Coturnix japonica: one gene and its partner. The protein of the gene in region 1 purifies or fractionates together with the protein of each later gene. This does not show direct contact. Links are inferred from orthologs where the notes say so. Each region holds a gene or a part of one and is shown on either strand. Other genes may lie near its edges.

Region 1 (7,475 bases):
GATAGTGTAGGGATTTAGCCTGATATTGGCAGATATATGTGAATCTCCTGTTAGCTGCTCAGAATCTTGCATAACCCTAGAAAATTCCAGTGCTGTTCATGCTTTTTGTTGTTTATTTGAAGTTAGTACTTATGTTATCTATCCTTTCTGCAGCTGATATTCAAAATATCAATCAGTGTGCATCCTTTTCAGTCATATTTGACCCTGAAAACTATTTGACTTGACAAAAAGCATTAAAAAAAGAACAAAATCATTCTTTTTGGAGTAAACTTGGTTGGTAGAGTTAGCTGAATGAATGTGTTCTGGTTGCTAGCAAATTGCATCAGTAGGCTTCTGCTGTCAAACAGTGACAATTTGTTCTTATCAATTTTTGCAGGATATATGCTTGAACCAGATCAAGAACAGAGACCTGATATTTTTCAGGTATCTTACTTTGCCTTTAAACTTGCCAAAAAGGATTGTCCAGTGTCCAATATTAATGTAAGTAGTCTTTCTTTTTTTTTTTCCTTTGCATTCAGGGATTTTCATAGATAGCATTGAGAAAAATCAGTCAAATCAGAGGTGCACTTATTGATGGTCATGAAGGTTTTATAAAAAGGAAATAGTCTGATCTTCCCCCTGCTCGGTGCTGCCAGTAGATCAGGATAAGGTTTGGCTTTACTAGAACTGAATGAATGAAAACTTGAAGCCTTGTAATGCAATGATGACAGCTGGTGCAAGCAAGGAAGGAGTTTTTGAATGCTTTACCTGCTGGTATTTTCATTGAGCACTGAGGGTGGAAAAGGCCAGCTTGATCTTGCACGTGTTGGAAGAGTTAGAGGAGAAGGTAAATTAAAGATGAGCTTACTGTTGTTGTTGAGCCCTGCATCTTAGTGCTTGCTTACTGTTGCTGAGGTGGGGTTATGTTTCCAGTTACTGCTGTGGATGACTTCCAGTGTAATTCAAACACAGTGTGAGAGCTGAGACAGGTAAACTGTGACAGTGTCTCTGGCTAGAGAAATGAGGGCTAGTATGAGAAGAGGAGTGTGCATTTATGACAATGATACATGATTAGGTTGTGATTTGCGGTAAGAGATTAGTTAAAGGAGCATAAAAACTTAGATGCTGCGTTGTTTTGTGAATTTTGCATTGGATTAGAAGAGCGGAATAGACTAAAAAAACTACCACTGTTTCAGTCTGGTTTTTAGCTTTAATTCTTAAACTCATAAATAAAATGAGCCTTTATTCTCTCCAGTTGACAAAAGGTGTATGAAGAAAGTGTGTTACCTCATTGTTGGTAGTTCATGAATGAACTGAAATAGCTGACATGGTAGTGAGTCAGGGCAGCAGCGCTTTCATTTTGTACTTCTTAATAAGTAACAGAAAATAGAAATAGTGTTCAGTAAAAATACTTTCAATCTACAGCCATGTGACAGGGTTCTGCATGAAACCTTGTAGCATCAAGGATTTGAACTCGGTTATTTCTTCTTGATTTGTAATGATTTCTTCAGGAGTTTGTGCTTTTAATTTCTTCACATTTATTTTTCCCCAGAATTCTCCTGTCCCTTCAACTCTTCCTGAGCCTATGACAGCTAGTGAGGCAGCTGCTAGAAAAAGCCAAATAAAAGCAAGGTGAGTAGATGATGTGACTTCACAGTTTTTAATATTATTAAACTGCACATTTGTCTGAAACTCTTTCATTAAAGAAATTATCCAAATAGTTTATTAGAATAGATAAATGACATTTCTAAGTGTTTAAAGTCTGAGTTAAATTTTTTTCAATTATTTTGAGAGTCCACTGATGAGATTTCAATATTCCTTTATACTGATAATTGTTTTAGCTCTGAGTCTACCAATATGTGGCTTAATTACTAAAATTGTTAGCCATAATGATCAGCTCAACTGCAACTTTATTAGCCTTCTGCAAATGAAAAGCAAACCTTTGGGGCTCATCTAAGCCATGTTTGAGCTGTATAGATATAGATATTCTGTTCTAAGGCAGTGATTGGTTTTGTTGGCTCTACTGTCGGTTGGTGACATACAATTAAGGGAAAGTGTTGAGTATTAATGGAATAATGTTTTCAGCTCCACCTGCTAGGCGCTACTGGGAGAGAACCATGAATTTTCCTACTTAAGTTTTTCTAACTACATAAGATACAGAGGTTAAGGCAGAAAACATTTACATATAATTTGCTAAGAACTAGTATAAGGTGTTAGGTACTGGGGCTTAGCTGGTGAATTTGTGTTTTTAAGCAGTTAGGCAATTTTTAAAGAAGCCAATACTGTGACTGGGCAAAGTGGGGTTAAAGCTCCAAAGGACATTTTTTTAATATCTTCCTTATCTGGGAAAACATGATGCAGTGCTAATGTTCTACAGAAAGACACAAATATTTAGGGAGGTTTATGAGCGATAGAACTGCTAGATGGTAAATCTGTCATGAAACCAGGGGTTAATTAACAGATAAGATTAAGAAAAAAAAATCTTACTTTGTGTGTGTACGAGAAGTAACTATCTCTAGTTGCAGGATTGCTGCCTCTAGTTTTCCAGGTAATTTTTATTCACTACTGTGAACTAATGAAAGCTTGCACAGAAATCAGATCTAGTGCTTTATTTGCATGGAGAACAAGGCTGTTGCACTTCAGCAGCAGTCGTATCTCTTATGATTGTGGTGAGAAGAATTGTAGGAAACAAATATTAAGGTATTTAAATTGAGCTCAGAAGTAAACAGCATACGTTTAAGATGAGGTGAGCTGTAAAGAGATGACTATTAATTTGAATACACAGCAGTTACTTTTAATGAAGTCTCGTCTGGAAATGTTTCAGAATAACAGATCCTACTGGACCAACAGAAACCTCAATTGCACCACGACAAAGACCAAAGGCCAATTCAAGCACTGCTGCTTCAAGTGTTCTGACGATCCAGAGTTCAGCAACACCAGTCAAAGTACAAGTTCCTGGTGTATTTGGTAACCGTGGGCAAAAAGGTAATGGACCAACATCTAAGGATTGGATGAAGCAAATGAAACAATCATTCCAAGTTTATTTTCCTCCTTAATCTTTGAACAGTAATCTTTGAAACTTGAAATTAAGTAGGTACAACTTTGTCAAAAAAACCCCAGATCTTCATCCTTTCTGGATGACTCTAAACGTGCAAGTAGTAGGTATTCAAGACACATTGATTTGTGCTTGATTTGATTTAAGAGGCTGCGAAAACAACTGAATGGCAAAACTCAGCAATCTAAAGGATTACATCCAATACTTCTTATGAAGAATGCTTTGAGAGGCATTAATCAGTATTTAAACATGTACTGTGAGAGACTTGTGTTCAGATATTTTATTTACTTGGCTTCCAAGTATGCAAAATCCAAAAGCACTTAACTGCATTCTTTCACTCAAGGATGAATTTGTCAGATTATTTTAATAAGGATATAGACAAAAATGTAATGTCCCAGTTTTGAGTCAGAATAGATGAATGTTGTTTGAGACACTGAAGATAAAAGTGAATTGCTAGGAAAGTGGAACTACTGAAACCAGCTTCCTCAGTAAATGAGAGCAAAGGAAGCTTCTCATGTCTTTGATGTAGACACTGTAGATTAATAAGCCTGCAACTGTCTTCACAGAAGGTGAAATATACAGTAAGCTTAGCATGCAAGATGTCATACTTGGAAGGGGACTATAAACTGTTTTGCCTTGAAGCACTTAATGCCAACTGCCTGGGTAAATGGACAGTTGAAGTTTAGAAATTGGCATGTGAGTAGTATTGTCTAAATATTACAGGAACCCCAAGACCTGGAAATGGTCAAGAAATGTTGCTGTCTCAAGGGACCAATCAGCACCATCCACAGCAGAACAGAGTTCTTCAGCAGCTGCAGCAGGGGGACTGGAGACTACAGCAACTACACCACTTACATCACCAGCAAAAACAACCTACAATTCAGGAGGCTTATGTGCAGCAGGTACAAATCATGTATTTTAAATACATTTCTTAAAGAGCTGTATGTTGTATCTGTTAGCATTTTGAGTCATTTGCTAGTTAAACAATATGACTTGGTTTCTTAATGCTAGGAGAGAGGGAGAAGGATTGTAGCTCTTGCCCTTTCTTTTTAGCTTTGCACATTTGTCTCGTGCCTAGGCATTGCAGTACTTACATGAGGAAGTTGTTTTCTTTGTGCTGTCCTGCCTTTGTTTCTTGACCCAGAATTTCTGCTTGCTTGGAATCAGCGCTTGCTGGCCCAAATAAAGGTTTTGTCTGTGTAAGCATGCTCCAGAGAAACATTTGGGATGATCTAGCTGACAATGGTATGCTCGTAGGAGCTTGCGTAGGGTAGACCCTTTGAGTCTAAATATTTGTGTGTGCTAAATAGGGGAATCATGATTTCAAGACTTTTTTTTTTTCTTTTTGAATATAGTATCAACAAGCAGTGCACCAGCAGGTGATCCAGCAGCAACTGTTGATGCAAGCTGTGTACCAGCAGCAGCCTTCCCAATCTCAGTATCCTGCTATGGTATGTCAACAGTGGGATGTCACTGTCAGTCTTCAGATATGCCCTATGATTGTAAGACACTGTGAAGTTGCAGTAACACAAGTTTTGTGAATAGTTATGAGCTTTGGACTTGGTAAATATCTAAAATGATATTGAGAGGGGAGAAAAAAATGATTCATCCAGCCTTGATTGAGAAAGCTTATCTGGCACTTCAGCATTTAATGTGATGTAGTCTAAGCTTTGATCAGTAAAGTACTAACTGGAAACATACTAAATGCTTTAAGTTTCCAGTGATGACCACCGCAGCAAACAGAAGTTATTGTGCAAAGTGATAAAACCACAGCGGCATCAAATTTGTACTTCAAGCCCAGGATGTCTAATGAGTTAAACCATCTAAGTACCGGTAGCCAGAAACTACTTTTATAGGCACTGTTATGTATGTACAGAGCCATATTGTGCGGCATTTGCTGAGGAAAGCATGCAGAATTTCTGAGTCTTCAAGTAGAATTAAACCAACAAAATACAGTTGGTGTCCTTAGACCACTTCAGTACTTCAGAAAGAAAGAAAAAGGGAGAATCCAGGTTGATTGTCACAAGGAAATAATGTTCTGGAATGATGCAGTTCAACCAAGGTTATACATTATGTTTACAAACCTAACTAGCCCAGAGAAATCTTAGCTATGTATAGTTTCACACTGGAATGTGCAACAGAAAATGAAATTTTTTCAGTTGCCATTAAGCTTTATCATGCTAGTTAGTTTATTTTATTGAGGTTTGCACTGAATGAGCATTTTGTCTGTTGTTGCTTAAAATGGAGAAGTCTTTCAGCGTTTACTTATGAGTGGAATATAAATATTCTTGCATGCCCTTTGTGATGCTGCTGCTGCAGCGTAATAGAAATATACGCATATGTGCTATTTACAGATAAAGCAGGAAAGCTGTGTGGCAGGAGGTGTTCAGAAGTTGGGAGAAAGTTCATGACTTTTGGTTAAGCTGCTGATCTTTTCTGGTGTATGGTTGTTTTTAATGAAGCTGTCTGTGAGGCCAGTGTTGTTACTTAGCATAAGAGCTTCACGTTGACCTGTCTGAATGATAATAATGTGTTTGACTGTCTTATTTAGGTGCAGCAATATCAGCAGGCTCTTATGCAGCAGCAGATGCTTGCTCAGCAACAGCAGCGGTCACAACAGGTGCAATCTCCTGAATATGTTCCTTCTCTACAAGACTTCTCGCCACCCTTAATTTCCTACTCTGCATCACTTCCAGTACATGCTGGAACAGTGGCAGATTCTCCCTATGCTCCAACCAGGCAAGTAATCTGACACAAACATACCAAGGGTTGCTGTTTGCTTTCTGTTGTTAACTGTAATAGGCTCTACCAAATCCTTTTCTTGAAAGTTAATTGCTTCAATCATCACGTATTGCTAAAACTAATAAATAGAAGCTTAGTTAGTGTTAGTGTTAACAGATATTTTAAGTGGCATGAGGGTGGAGAGCAGGATGCATCTCATTTGTAGATGAACCAAATCAAACTTTAACTTGTTTTTTTCTTGTTCATGGACTTCTTCCAAGAAACAAACTGCTAATCACCTTGCTTTGGGTGGTCAGCAGCACATAATTAATGAAGCAGTTAATATGACACTCAACAGACACTAATTTTTACAACTTTCTGTTCTTTAATCCAGTTTGTAGGATATAGTTTTAAAATGGGCTTTATATTTCTGGTTAATTTGGTATGAGTTCTAACTCTTCCATCCACTTATCAGTGGTCTGACTTGTATTCTGTAATGGATTGTATCTTAATTTCAGCGATAAGGACCCTTTGCAGAGGTCCACGCATTTACTTCTTAATAAAGTATGGTGAAAAATGACTTTGTGAATACTCACTGTGGAATGAGAGCAATGCAACATTCAAAAAAAATAAATAAATAAAAAAATTGCACACTTGCCTTGTTTCACTGATGTTCTGACTGAACTTAGTGTTAGCTACATAAGCACATAAATACTACTATTGCTAAAATTGAAAGAGAACGTGTTACCTGTATGCAACATTTTGGCATAAGAAGGTATACCATCAGTTTTTATCCTGGTTGACAATCCTGTAATGTTCCTTTCTATTTTCTTTCTGTGGTCTGACTTTGCAGGTCAGGCATTCTTGATGCTGAGTCAATTACCAGTTACCCAAAGCAGAGCATCAATAACCCACCTGATATGTCAGGCTGGAACCCATTTGGAGAGGACAATTTTTCCAAATTGACAGAAGAGGAGCTGCTGGACAGAGAATTTGACCTGCTAAGATCAAGTAAGGGACACTTGAAGGCTTATTTTGCTTCACAGTAAATAAGGTCTCAGCAGTACCATCACCTATTTTACTGAAGGGCCGTACAGTCTGTGTACAGAATTCTTTCTGAGCATTTGAGGGCAGAGTTGGGCCGGTCTCCTTTCCTTTCTCTTTCTGGAAATGTGTGCAATAAGAGATGACTGTCTAAAACTGGTAGCTACTGGCTGAAGTACTGCAGAAATGGCTCTATCTTGGCTTCTAAATCCTGCTTATGTCACCTTGATTGTTAAAAAGCTCTGACTAGCAGAGGTATTTGGCTGCTTGCTTCATTCCTCTTCAGCTTTTTTCTTGCACACCAGAACAGAAGATTTTGTGGGTCTGATATGTCCTTTGAAAATGCCTGAAAGAAAAATGATCTATTACATTATGTTAATGTTTTGTAATGTCCTTTTTGATGAGTGGCTACATGTAAGGGCTGCTTTATTGTTCTGATATGGCATTAGTTGAATAAACTTTTTCTCTTGAAGTCAGTTATCTCAATGGTTTTTACTTGGAATTACTTTTTTAATTGCTTAACACATGTTTGTGTTAGATGCTTTTCCTGAAAGCTAATTCTGTCATTTGCAAGACTTAACAAGATGTGGCTGTGTCAAAATATATATATTGTGAATTCTTGACTGACTCTCAGTAAGTTTACTGCAATTAAAAACACGGTAAAGCTAAATTTCAA
Region 2 (7,475 bases), on another chromosome or scaffold:
AAGTACTTAAAAACGTTCTAAGTCATAATGTCAGAGGTAGGACATGAGCACATGTAAAAGTGCCATTTAAAAGTAGGATGGTTTTGACTATCTTTCATTTTTATCTTCAAACAGATAAAGGAAGCAGAATACCTATAATCTGCTTCATAAATACTATATTTGCAATGAACATTGAATTTTTGTGGAACTTGAAATAAATTAACTTGTACTGAAATTAACTTGAAATACAAATGATTCCTCAAAATTCCATTGTTATCATTCTTGAAGATGTTGAGTCATTCAATTCTTATTAGTTAATAAAACTTGAAGCCTTTTTACTTTACCATCTCTTACCATCATATGTTTAGAGGAAGTGTATTTTTAGGCGCCATTTGTTGTTGATGTATTCTCTATGCTATATTTTTCAAAAAAGCAGAATTTAATGACTAGAAAAAAAAGAACATTAAGCAGTCTTGGCTCTGGAAGGTGCACAAGTGGGTGTACAAGTATTGTGGCTTTCTAGCTCTATCTTCTTACTAAATATTTTAATAGGGAGGAATCCCTTCCTACTGTGTGTGTAGGATGTCAGAGACTTTCACTTGGCTATTATTGAGGAGCTTTTAAACTAGATACTGTAGCATTGCTTTAATAATTAAACCAATGTTTTTTCACTCAGCTCCTCAGCCTTTCAGCAGCAGCCAGCATCAACTGTAGTGTTTTCAGTATGAGTAAGCACATTACTATGGCAAAGACATATTAGAAGTATCCACAGTTATCTAAAAACTAGCCACTCTCTTGTTATGTCAAGGTGATTGTCAAGCAACTTCTTGTCAGGAAATGGAGTAAGAAAACAACTATAGCCATGAAAATGCCTACATCCATACCTGATTTTCTACTGCTTTGATTGGTATAGACAGTGTTGAGGATTTTGTCATATAACTGAAGTTCTTTGAAAGTTTTATAAAGTGGACATTAAGCTAAAAAGCATCATTTTTATTTCACGGGCAGCTGTGATAAAATTTCAGGAAGTACAGAGTAGTCTTTAAGTGTGAAGAAAAACTACTTCTAAAAGTAGTGAATGTTTTTCCCTCTTATCTTAAAGGAATTTTGCTTTGTTCTGATGAAGACTGAAAGATTATTATGCTGTGTATGCTATGCTTAAAAATAAAAGTACAGAAATATAACAGATAATTGATTCTGCTGATGTTTTTAAAGGCATTGGTGAGAAATAACTTGCAAACTTTTTGTGTTTTATGCAATTAATTTATTTCTTTTCTTTATCTGGGCCTCTAGTTTTGGAAACAGCTAATCTTCTTTAGTACCTGACATGGATTTGTCACCAGAACATGTACATTGAATTAAATATATAAAGGGAGGTTACTGGTTTGGCTGTAACTTTGCTTGTAATTACAACAGTCCAAATCCCAATTTTACTATTTTAATGTATATTTATAAGTTGCTAATAGGTCTATGTGCAGGTTATACTGTGTATGTTAGGCTGTCTGCTCAACGGGAGCATCTGCAATGGAGATATGCATTGTGCATATCATACTTTAAGACTGCTTTTAGAATGTCAATTACTTGATTTTTGTTTCCTTTATTTTGATAGAAGTTTAAACTTTTTCAGACCATAAACAATGCTCTTATTTACTTCTGTCCTTTTTTTTTGTTAGAAACTCTTTCATTAATCGCTTCACTTCTGTGCTCACAATGCTGTCTCCTTTCTGTTTTGATTTTGAACCAGTGGCCAAGAGAAAGAGAAGTAACAGTGCTCTGTCTAACACTGTCCTGTTTGGACTGGCACTGAAGACTCTTGCCACATAGTCTGGTAGCCGTTCCTGCTTGTATGAATCTGTGACCAAGTGCAGGTGTCTCAAATCCATTAGTGTGTTGGTCTTGTCTTACATCTGCTTTTCTGACCAGAGATGCATTTCTCTCACGTGACATAGAGCTGTTATGCAATATTACATTTGTCTGCACCCCTACAGAATTTTAAAAGAACAATTTTCCAACGAGGTGGTTATATTTGTGCTGATCTGGGGAAATAAATGAAACATTAGGTTCTTAAAACACTGTAGTAATTCCACAATAGATTTAAATGGGGTTAGTATTTTGAATTTGATCATATTCTTCAAAGAAATCTCTGGATTGTAGCAGCTCCACTTAAGATTTGACATTGTGGTGTGGTATTTCTAAGTAGGTTATGTCTGCTTTTCAGAACAAGTCAAATGTCTGTGTGAAAACAACCTGTAGAAGGAAACTGCACTGAACTAGGATAATGAAGTCAGTTGTACAGATACTTCTTTCCAAGTCCTTAAACATGTATTTTATGTGTTAATAGCACTAGTCTTGATGAAATGTGAGATCTGCAGCTGAAATGAACTCTACTGTGAGTTCTGTTCTGAAGATTAAAGTTAATGATTTTCAGCTAACTCAATTTTATTGCAGTTTATAAAAATTAACAGTCCATTACAAAATTTACAAGTTTTTGCTTTCCTGTAAGGGAAGGCTTTCTGCAAGGAATTCTATTTGCTAAAAGCCCAGGGAGAACTGGAATTAGAATAACAACGTACACTTGCAAGGTAACAGCTGTTAAGCTGGTTCAGTTTGCAAAATGCTGTGAAAGAAAACGCTAAGATTCTCAATATAAGGGTAGCATCTTTAACTCAAATTGGTTTGTTTTGTCTCCTCTTTGAAAAAGTGGAACTGTGTGGTACTTTAGAGTAAGATACTTTATTCTCAAAAGGGCTGTTTGTGAATGCAATTCATGTATTTGACTTATAGTGATTGCTTTCATTTCAGAAGTTGGGGAACAAACCGGTGAGGTTGGTTACTCCAGCTCTCCAGCAGAAGCACCTCCAAGCAAGTCTCCATCAATGCCATCCCTAAACCAGACCTGGCCAGAATTGAATCAGAGCAGTGAGGTTAGCACTTCAATGCAAGTTATTTAATTGCTGCTGTCAATAGCTAAATTGTGTGAAAATATATAATTCACAAGTGGATTGTTAATCACCGATTGTGAATGCATTGACAAAAACTCAAGGAGGACAATGGACACTAAAACACAGGAAGGTTCTATACATTTGAAATTGTAAAAGTGTTACCTTTCCAATTTTTCTGCCTGATTGGTAGGTGAGATAAGTTTTAAAATGTTGTCATTAATAGCAATTAAGCTTCATATTCATCCCTAAATGATCTCCTCTCGTACTTATTGGAGAACTTCAGTTGATTTTTTTTCTTTCTCCGGGTGCTTTCTCTTTTGTAACTCTGAAGGATTGTACAATCAAAAGTTATGCAGAACTTCAGAGTAAGCTTCTGAAATGTAGACAAATCTAAGCAGAACTGATGTTAAACAGAAAAAACTTTTTTTTTCATGATTAAAGTTTAAAAGCTGAGGAAATTTCCTTCATCTCTCAGGAAGAAGAACCTGGTAAGAGTCTATCCTTCCTTTTAAGGACAAGCACAAGCCTTACAGTGGTGCCTTTACCAGATAAAAAAATACAAGGCATAGTGATTCTTAGTTCTGTTTGACAGAATGACTCTTAGTCTGCTAGTAGGAGGTATGTATTTCCAGTCAAGTGAACAGATAGTCAGTTATTGCAGCAAGGACAAAATGTCTGCAAATATATTTAAACTTGTATGATGTATTCCATCATGCTTACAATGAAGATCCCTGATTTGGTAAGCTGCATCATAGTTGAACAGATGCTATATCTGCAGTTTAAACCAGTTGAATAGAAGAAGTGAAGTAGCAGTGCAAAGTTGCTGATCATTGGTTGTCAATCAAAATCTTCTTTACAAAACTGACTTTGTCTGTTCTACTAGATAATGTGATATTTTCTTCTGAAAATCAGTTCAGTTATAAGAGGTTTGGAAAAATTCTCAGGATAAATATACTACCAAACATTAACTATACTAGGAGTTAAATATTAAGAGCTTTTTGTTCCAATTATTCTAATTTCTTAGCTGTATTGCTATGCATGCTTGCTTTGCAACTTTTTCTTTCCAGCAAGAATCAGGTCAAAGTACTCAAGGTTTTATTGCCGTGAAAAAGTTTCTGGTTTTACAGCAGGCAGCAGTCTGTAGCCTCTTTCAGCCTCTTACAACTGTCATCAACAAATGAGTTGCTTGCAAAGCTATGCGGCTTTGGATGAACAACCTCTCCAAGCAATTTGCATCCCAGTTAGTTTTAAAAACATGGGTTACTCTGCTTTTTCTAGCTCACAATTGATTTTTACACTCCAGTTCTCAAGCTCAGGTAGTGTCAGCTCACAAAGTATGGACCAAGGTGTCAGAGCTTCAAAATAAAGAATCTTGTAAAAATCTGTCTGGGTTAGATAGATGCATGCTTAACAGTCCCATCTCTACAATCTACCGATCTCTCGTTTCTCCCTTCAGAAACCTTTTCCTTCCAGTTTCAGTGCCAGTGCTGCACACACTTCTAAGAGTTTAAAAAACTGGAAAGCCTATAAAATTTTCATTGAAAGCAGGTGTCATATTAGCTTTGACACAGATATAGTGTCTTTGGAGTTCACAACTGTTTCAGATATTTAGATGTTCTTTCAGTAATAGTTCAGTTTGTTCTGAGTTCTGCTTTTCAGTAATTAACATTTTTAAGGTATCTTTGAGAGACCTTTGTGAGTCTCAAAGACAGGTATTTTATTTTCAACTAATGGGACATTTATCCTAGCTAATTAGTATTACCGTCATTGCTCTTTGATCTTACCATTTCAGATGCCACTCAGTAGACACTGTAGCTTACAATGCAGCAGGAAGTTAGAAGAAACTAGTTTCTGGTAGTATCTCAGGATGGATGAATGAAACACTAACACCTCATTCCTTGGTTTAGTAGAAGGTGTTGATGTTCATCTGTTGTCTAGCTATAGACCCTAAGGACAAATAATAAATAATAAAATGAGCAACTGTGTAAAAGGAAGGGGAAAGCTTACATTTTTGCTAGAAAAGAGTAGTTTTGTGGAAAAATACCAGCTGAATGACGTCATAGCCTTTGCCTTTGTTAAAAAATAGGACTCCTTCTCTTCAAGGAACAGCACCACACGTGAAGGGTCTTAATACTTTAGTGAGTCTTGTTCTGATTATGTTTAATTAATTTTGGCTGACTGAAAACTATTATTTAGGAATTTCCATGAAGACCTATTTCTCAAGTACTACTTTAGGCTAGTTTCACATGTGGGCCGTTGACAGGATCACAGAATTGTGAGGGTTGGGAGGGACCTTTGGAGGTCATCTAGTCCAACCCCCTGCTAAAGCAGGTTCCCTACAGTTGCTTACACAGGAGAACATCTGGGTGGGTTTTTAATATTTCCAGAGAAGGAGACTTAACAACCCCTTTGGGTAGTCTGTTCCAGTGCTCTGTCACACAGTGAAGATGTTTTTCCTCATGTTGTATGGAACTTCACGTGTTCCAATTTGTGCTTATAGCCATTCTGTCACTGTGTACCACTGAGAAGAGCCTGTCCCCATCCACTTGACTCCTGCCCACTAGATGTTAATTAAACATAAGATCCCCTCTCAGTCTTCTCTTCTCCAGGCAGAACAGTCACAGGTCTCTCAGCCTTTCCTCATACGGGAGGTGCTCCAGTCCCGTAATATTTGTGGCCCTCCACTAGAAGTTCCCATTCATTCTCAAACCGAGGAGCCAAGAGCTGGACACAGCACTTCAGACATATCCTTGCCAGGGCAGAGGAGAGGGGGAGGATCACTTCCCTTGACCTGCAATGTCCTCTTACCTTGCAATGCTCTAACGCACCAGATGCCTCCAAGTAGGTCCCTGAAGAGGTCAAAGCTGGTTCTCCAAAAGCCCAGCCTTGCAATCCTACTTACTGCTTTCTTTCATCCATCTAAGTTCTTGAACTCCACTGTCTCGTGTTTGTTGCATCCAGGGCTGCCCCAGCCTTCACGGTCCCAACCAGTCCTTATTTGTAAGAACAAGGTCTAGCAGCATAGCTTTCCTCATTGACTCCTTCACCTCCTGTCAGAAAGTTACCTTCCAAACACTACAGGAACCGGTGCACCTGAATATGGCTCACACATACACTGAGTATGGTTTCATGTAGGAGAGTGCATGATATTAGATTGACTAACAAAGTATACTGTGCCCTGTATCATCTGAAAACATGCACATTGATTTACGTACGGATGTGGGACAAGAATATTAATTTGTTTTTATGACCTTACTAACATTTTAGTCTCTCTTGAGTGCTACAAATCTTGTTTGAAACTTGGCTAATATTTGTTATTATGCCAGAATACAAGTTTAACGATCCTGTAGTGATTTGTTATCTAGTTTCTGGATCACAGATTACTGTTATGTATTTTGCTACTTCATCAATCCAGCTGTGACAGTAATTTGACTTATTAAGCATGAGGACTCTTGACAACTGTGTATTGATACAGCTCACCTATATCTTGAAAAACTGTACTTAATTTGCTTTTAACAATCAGTGGTATGTTTGAGTTTAATTCTTTCCCATGTCAGTGATTTAGACTTGTAAAAATACTCTTACAGAATAGAATCATTTCTCAGGGGTTGCACTAGCAAGCTGGACTGGTATAATTAGAGCACTTTGCTCAGTGTCAATTTGTCTGAGATTCTGTAAGAAAATCAGTGCCTCCCAAATATATTTGAAACTGGGCAACTACAAAGCTGAGGAATCTCTGTGGATTTTACAGTCACAGATGTGTGGCACAGAATCTCAACAATATTTGATTGGCTTAACGTTTTTTTTAATACTTGTGTAACTTTTACAAGAACTCTGAAAGTATTTGACTTAACTGTACACCTGTCTTCACTATGAAACATGAATGTAAAAGATGAATACTGACAGGTAACAAACTTGGTTGCAGTGCAGTCTCAAACTAAAATAGAAAGATTCAGTATGTGTTAATATAACTTCTAAGTACTGCCTAGTGCAAATACAGTGCTTTCCAGTGCAACCTCCAAACTACTATGCTAAGTCTCCTTGGTGATCTTTTACTCCCATCTTTCTCATCATGCTGATTTCTCTCCTCTGTCTGTTCAGCAGTGGGAGACATTTAGCGAACGCTCTTCAAGCTCACAAACTCTGACCCAATTTGATTCTAACATTGCACCAGCTGATCCTGTAAGTCAATCACTTAGCTTGCTTGTTTGAAATTAATTTTATTAACACTGAATTTCTATTCATTGTATGTAGCTGTTATGCATGATTCCTTGAATTCCTTTTATATTTTTTTTCCTTTCTTGTTTGGGGGGGAATGATAACAAGCTTATTAATTATTTTGCTTATTTTTAGGAATAGAATTTTTCTGGTACTGATCACATTTAATATCTGAGTGCAGCAAATGTTTGTTTTCTTGATTTTAATGCAACACTGTTGTCAAAAGCTGTATTGGAGGAAATATTTAAACATACTGTTTTTTGAATATGTAAGGAAACTGAAGAGCAACACCCAATCATATATTAGTCCCTTTTTCAGAATCTATCTTTAGTATTT

Evidence for each region.
Region 2: the proteins of BMP2K (region 1) and REPS1 purify together in Homo sapiens (affinity purification with mass spectrometry; 3 studies listed by BioGRID and IntAct, counting the BioPlex papers as one, with this or other methods). This does not show direct contact. The link is inferred for Coturnix japonica from reciprocal best matches to the Homo sapiens genes BMP2K and REPS1.

The regions. Positions count from the first base shown.
Region 1 is NC_029519.1:39,918,147-39,925,621, forward strand, and holds part of BMP2K (BMP-2-inducible protein kinase), read left to right. Parts: intron 1-376; coding exon 377-480; intron 481-1,531; coding exon 1,532-1,611; intron 1,612-2,803; coding exon 2,804-2,964; intron 2,965-3,757; coding exon 3,758-3,936; intron 3,937-4,389; coding exon 4,390-4,485; intron 4,486-5,585; coding exon 5,586-5,773; intron 5,774-6,608; coding exon 6,609-6,766; intron 6,767-7,475. UniProt on the Homo sapiens protein: May be involved in osteoblast differentiation.
Region 2 is NC_029518.1:48,977,788-48,985,262, forward strand, and holds part of REPS1 (ralBP1-associated Eps domain-containing protein 1), read left to right. Parts: intron 1-2,781; coding exon 2,782-2,903; intron 2,904-7,022; coding exon 7,023-7,103; intron 7,104-7,475. UniProt on the Homo sapiens protein: May coordinate the cellular actions of activated EGF receptors and Ral-GTPases.